2 linked regions of the Coturnix japonica genome follow. The protein of the gene in region 1 interacts with the protein of each later gene in a biochemical or structural test. Links are inferred from orthologs where the notes say so. Each region holds a gene or a part of one and is shown in the gene's direction. Other genes may lie near its edges.

Region 1 (3,655 bases):
ACCTCATCTTTCTCTCCAGGCACAAGTCCTATGCAAAAGCTAGCCAAGAGTATTCTGAACCTTTTAAGAATATGATTCAAAGTTCAGTGAATTCTTTTTTCTGATAGATCTCTCCCAGTTTTAACTATGACATCGAATTGTGCAACTGTCAGCTGATTTTCACTAAAACTGTGTATCCAAAAACAGAGCCTAGAAGTGTAGTGCTGTGGTACTGCTGGATTAACTGGGGCTTTGCCATAGATTTTTATAAACAAATTCACAAAATCCCACCAAACCAAGTGATATTTCTCAGAAATATTTAGTTATGGAAGTGTTAGCATTTTGATGCAAGCCTTTAAAAGTCAGTTTAAACTAAGCATATTCCTTGAAGCTAGAAGTCGTAGTACTTTACCAGAAGGTCACTCTAAACACGATAGGATTCATTACCAGAATATGCTCTCTGTTTATCAGTTGCTATTAGAAATGAAATTTTCTGCTCTAAAGAAAAACTTATTAAGTTTGTTTGATACTGTAAGATTTGTATCTCTGCTGTTTTTTTGAGATGCGTTTAAAGCCCTGAGCTTACTTTTATCATTCAGATTGTTGAAATAATAGCGATGGGTGTTGGTATCTTTTCACTGATTTGAAAAGCCAGACCTTGCTAACGTTGTCGGTTTCATTGACTGTAACTTGACATACTCATTCACTTCTGAGACCAACAAATCTGCTGAGAATTCCATGCAGATTATTGAGAGATGATGTGAATAATGTTAAGTGTGTCCCCAAAGACTTTCACGATGGATATGCATAATCAAGCATGCAGTTCTCTACACTAATTCTAATTACTTTTTTTTTCTTCCCTAAATCACTAAGGTTCCCCGACCAGAGATGTAGGGCCTTCATTAGGTCTGAAGAAATCCAGCTCATTAGAAAGTCTGCAGACAGCCGTTGCTGAGGTGACTCTCAATGGTGATATTCCTTTCCACCGCCCCCGCCCACGAATTATCCGAGGACGAGGCTGCAATGAAAGCTTCAGAGCTGCCATAGACAAATCTTATGATAAACCTGTAGCAGATGATGATGACGAAGGCATGGAAACTTGTAAGTAGGCTATTGTTGTACATAATGAATGTTAGCAGTATCAGTCAATTCCTTTAGAAGGTAATTAGAAGTGATAGAAGATAATTTTAAGATTTTAAAAGAATAGAACTAGTATCTCTTCCTGGATTTGTTTCAGGCTTTTGCCCTTCATATGCATTAAGCAGATTGCAACACTCTGCAGCTTCCTTCCTTCCTAAAATAAGGAAATAAGATTATTAGGAGTGTGTTTACTTAAATTATTATGAAAATTTTCTGTAAGGCAGCTAATTAATTTACTGATGTAAATTAGAAAAAAAAAATTGCACAGAAACTAAAAAAACCCCACTGAATTAATGTTACAAAAATATGTGCATCTAACTTTGAAAGGGTACATTTGTAGTGTCTGGGGAAAAAAAAGAAATCACTGTCCTTTAATTAGAATGAGTAAGGCTGGCAGATCTAATAAAATATAAAGTTAATGATCAGCTATTACCCACCCTAATGGGCATTCATTTACATTTTCAGTTCTTTAACCCGAAGTATGACCCAACATGTGGAGAATGTCATTAACATAAAAGAATCACTTCAAAGCTAACCTTATCATTATTGAACTGTGTAAGAATGGGCCGGGAAAATGACAACTTATATTGAATAAAAATAGTGTGAATGGTAAATTATCTCAATCAGAGGTTGTATTAAAATTATGGAATTTTTAACCTTCATGTTGTATTAGTTTCAACTTGTCACACACACCCGCAGAATTTTTTTTAATCGACCTGTAGCTAGTTAAAAGTTTATGAATGGAGAAGACGCTTGGAAAGCTGAAATGGTAAAATATTTAGCTTGAATACTTGCAGAAAAGCCTTGAAAAAAACTTTCCACTCTCTGCTAGTTTTAAAATGTTAGTTTCTGAAGTGCCAATCCGTAATATTCCATTGCAAGCTTACTCCTTTTATATTTTTGAACGCGCTTTGGTTGTTTTTCTTTTAATCTGTTACTAAAAGTGTTCTGAGACTGAAAGGGCGGTCATTCTGCCAGTCACTTTTCTCAAATATAGTTACAGGCAGAATTAATTCTGCTTCGCTTTTACCATACCTAGCAATTTCATGAAGCAATGAGGCTAAAAGCTGGTCTGGTGCTGCTGGCTGTCATTCTGTTTTTGACCAGCAAGAGAACAGGAATGAGAAGAAGTGTAATGGTCCTGGTCATCCTCCCAGACTGTGTGTGTATGGTCTTCTGGAATGTATGGTCCCATTTTCCTAAAAACCCTTATATGGTGTGAGCCAACTGATGGAGATAACTTGTTTTGAGGTATGAGATATACAGGGCTTACCCAGAAGTTACAGATGATTTAACTTTGTTTCACAAAAATTACAGCAAAACTGTTTTGAAAAAGTGTATTCTATGTGAATATAGGCTCACATAAGATGTTTTGAGTTTATTGATGCAACACATAGAAAGCAGAAAGAAAATATTTGGTAGTCTTTGTATTCTTTGCCTGGAAGTTATGGAAACCAGAAAAAAATTCAGTCTATAAGTGAAATGCTGTGTGGTGAGTCTTCATCCTCATCTTTGTATGGATGAAGTCTAGCACTGATGGACCAGGAGCCATCTCACTGTCATAGGAGATCAAGAGCAAGATTGTTTTTAAATCTTACCTGCTAAGGTAGGCCTTCAGGAAGTATGACCAAGATATATCCATGGAACTGCAGGTTCTGTTGAAGCTGTGGGGCCAAATAGCTTCCATGTATTACAGTAAAGCATCTACAAAGTAATACCGAAAGTTACACTGCAAGTCACTGCAATTGTAATAGAAAGAGATGCGTAGTAAAGCAGCTGTAGTAAGTTCATTGAACAGAATTCAGTTCAGTGAACATTGTTGAAGACCCTTTTGGTCTTCCCCTTCTTATGGTGGCCAAGAGAGCTTAATAGCTAATCCAGACATATGGGGCATGGGATCAGCTCAGAATGCTAAATCCTGAGGTCTGTCTTTCTAGAAACATGTGTGTATCTGTAAAACAAAACAAAACAAAACAAAACAAAACAAAACAAAAAACAACTGCAGTCTTCCCAACTTCGTGTAAATTTTTTGTAAATTCCAGAGAATTTGCCAAGTGATGTCTGCAGCTGGAAAAAGTCTGTGTGCCTTTGAATACGTGGAAGTTTATTTAACAATCTGGTACTGGCCTAATGGCTCGCTGCTGCCATAATGACATGGCATAATTCTCTTTTAATTGTATTTAATTATTTCATAATTGTTTGAAATTAAAATGTGGCTTTCTTGTATTATAAAATTCAAGCAAACAAGTTGGTGGTCAATTTGCTGATACCCTTGAGGTTGGAATCATTTGTCTTTCTTGATATGTTTTCCCTTTCTTCTCCAAATGTTTCTGTGCTGAGAGTGCTTTTCTTTTCCAGACTCTGCGCTGCAATATATTTTATAGAGGAATTCGTAACATGTCATTACCCCAAATAAGAAAGCCATAAAACATAGGTAGTATGTGTGGCAGAGGGGCCGGCTCTTCTAAATTAACTTACTGTCTTTGCAAAGAAAAAAGTTATTAAATGGCTAGGAAAATCAGATCGGTGTGTCCAG
Region 2 (2,992 bases), on another chromosome or scaffold:
TGGACTTTATTTATAGGAGAGATGTTTTTCTATTATGCTTTATGGGTTTTTTCCTTGCTTCTTTTTTTCCCACTTGGGGAAAGGATAGAAAAATGAGTATGGTGCACATGGTGAGGGACCCTAGGAGCAAACCTCTGCCTTCACTGTTTTTGTCAGCTTACAGACCTTAAAGTGCTCCTCAGTAGCAGAACTCTGCCATCCACCATGTCTCCAGAGCCCCTATTTATTAATGTGGTAGCTGTTGAGCACGTACACAAGTGTTCACCTCCTCAGTGACTGTCAAACAGTTGTGGGGTAGACAATACTGATAAGACTGTGTAACAAGTACGATTTTGTTTTCCAGTTCCTCCCACTACTCCAGTATGTGTGGTACCCACCTCTGCAATGACAGGAACAGTAGTGGAGCTGAGCTGCAAGGAAGCTGAGGGGTCTCCTCCATCTGAGTACCAGTGGTACAAGAATGGTGTTGCCTTACTGGAAAAGACAGGAACGGGCACTGCTAGAACAGCCGACATAACTTACACCATGAATAAAAAGTCTGGCACTCTGGTAAGCACAGTAACCAACTGTAACAAGCAGCCATAGAGAAAACCAAATTTCTGTACAGCACAGAAACGCACTGTGGCTTTAATCCAAGGCACAAGGCCTCTCTCAGAAATCAATGTCACACTGAAATGTGATAACAAATTTATAGGGTACGGTTTCTGCCTCAGACCAATGACAAATCATAGAGGTCGAGTGTGGTAGGCAAAGTGGGTGATTTATAAGGCTGTAGTAGTTATAAATGAGAAGAATCTAGCAAATAAATGACAAATTTCACCTAGTTGGTTCTCCAGCCAGCTCCAGGTGGGAACGATCTCACAGTATGTCAACCAAGTTGTATTTGATAGTGCCTTAAAATCGAAAACAGCAACTTAACACACTTCAGTGGAAAATGCAGCAGTCCAGAATCTCTGCAGTGGCATTTAAAGGTTCCAGCCCTGTACTTGATCACATACTGCTAAGCTGAGATCTTATTTATTTCTTTTTAGAAGAGTCAATTTTAGGGACACTCTGCTCACATTTGGAAACCAAATTGTGTCACATCATTTGTGCCTTTACATTCACGGGTGCCATAGATATTTCAGCACACCGTGAGCTACTTAGAAACATTAATCTCTTCTTAAAAGTCATAGTTTTGGTGTATAGGATACATTAAACGGAGAACATTTAACAAATCTGATTATAAAAATAATTACAGAGAAACACAAAAAGTGTTATGAGGTCAGCATCCATTTTCTGTTTTCTCGCTGTACTTATTACATTAGAAGTATTTCATAAATAATGCAGCTAAGCGTTTCTCCATTAGAATAATGGAGAAAGTAACATTTCTGTGGGGGGAAAAAAATCCTTGGGATGTATCTTTTGTACTACATTTTGTACACTCCATTTAGTAAAAATGCCTATCTAGAAGACCCTCGTGTACAAGTAGTTGAAGTTAAGATCTAAGCGTATGAGTAGGGAGCAGGATCGAGATGAACATGAGAGCAGAAGTTCTCATTTTATTTCAGATTTTTTGGAAAAAAGATATGTCAAAATTTCTATACTGCAGGAAATTGGGTTTTTGTTTTTGTTTTCCCATTCTGGTAACAGCTTTGGTCTCTTGTCTTAACAGACATTTAACGCTGTTTCAAAGAACGACACTGGAGAGTATTTCTGTGTAGCCTCAAATGGGATTGGATTGCCTCAGAAATGCTCCATGAAGCGAATGCAAGTGGGTATGTGTCAGAATAAAAAGGGACAGAAAACGGTCTTGCATCTGAACTGATTTCATTGTGCGATACAGTTGAGAAACTAAGATTGAATTACAGCCTTTTATTTGATTACAGTATTATGGGGGAGGAATAATATTCATATATTAGGGAACCTTATATGTAGTGAGGGTGGCTGCTTAAAGCATTCCTTATTTCTTTTCCTTGTGTGTGTGTATGTGTCGCACTGTATTTTACAGAAAAGCAGTTAGTTGGGTACTTTAAAATGATTGCAGTATCCAGCCCTTAATGTTGTTCAGCAGTGAATGTCACAGAACCACAGTGTCCATCTGAGAAGCTTCATGCTTCAGAATGCTTTTGTGGGTGTTGTACAGCATAATGTACCAGCCCGCTGTTAGTTTATCTGTGTAGCTTTATGGTTTTATTTTTTTCTTTCTTCTTTAACTAATAGCCTCACAGGACTTTGAGATGTCAACAGCAAAAACCTTTGGGTAAAATTTACATCAGTGTATTAATGTCTTGTACTCAGGATCCAAATAAGTAATCGGCCTTCTACATAATGATAATATAACAAAGATTAGGTAACAGAAAGATCAATCAAAATGTTTCTGCTTATTGATGGCTTTGTTATTGTTTTGAAAAGGTACCTGTAGGAATTAGGGGAAAAGAATTCCATCTAATGGATATTTTTAAAACTTAAAACATTGTATTTATCTTTTATAATTACAGATGACCTTAATGTAAGTGGTATCGTCGCTGCTGTAGTAATTGTGGCTCTGCTAATGGCACTGTGTGGCCTTATAGTACTTTATGCTCAAAAAAAAGGGTATTTTACAAGTAAGTACAGTAAAATCACTCTTTCTTCGGTTTAAAAAACAACAAAACTAAACTATATTTCTGCTGACCATAACATGTACTTCTCACACTTCACTTCCACGGCACTACAGCTAAAGATTATTACAACAGCAACTTCACTGTGCGTTTTTATTCAGCCTTCTACTGCAGAGAACGCAGCTTCTACTTTGTGAGATGGAGGCATTTGTACAGTTGCATAAGGCTCGCAGACAGCAATCTAGGAAAAGCAGCAAGCAGAACCCTGGCTTCTTGAGATTCTGCTGTAGTTTTGAGAGGGAATGGGAAAGAAAGGTACTGCAAAAAACAAGGCGTATGAGGTTACTTGTAATCCATGATATTTGGAGCAGCTGAGTTCTGATGAAGGAGAACTAACTGACTTGCTCCCT

Evidence for each region.
Region 2: the proteins of PARD3 (region 1) and JAM2 form a complex in vitro, tested with the Homo sapiens proteins (2 studies listed by BioGRID and IntAct, with this or other methods). The link is inferred for Coturnix japonica from reciprocal best matches to the Homo sapiens genes PARD3 and JAM2.

The regions. Positions count from the first base shown.
Region 1 is NC_029517.1:12,118,033-12,121,687, forward strand, and holds part of PARD3 (partitioning defective 3 homolog), read left to right. Parts: intron 1-852; coding exon 853-1,080; intron 1,081-3,655. UniProt on the Homo sapiens protein: Adapter protein involved in asymmetrical cell division and cell polarization processes. Seems to play a central role in the formation of epithelial tight junctions. Targets the phosphatase PTEN to cell junctions.
Region 2 is NC_029516.1:92,177,802-92,180,793, forward strand, and holds part of JAM2 (junctional adhesion molecule B), read left to right. Parts: intron 1-343; coding exon 344-549; intron 550-1,654; coding exon 1,655-1,757; intron 1,758-2,480; coding exon 2,481-2,588; intron 2,589-2,992. UniProt on the Homo sapiens protein: Junctional adhesion protein that mediates heterotypic cell-cell interactions with its cognate receptor JAM3 to regulate different cellular processes. Plays a role in homing and mobilization of hematopoietic stem and progenitor cells within the bone marrow.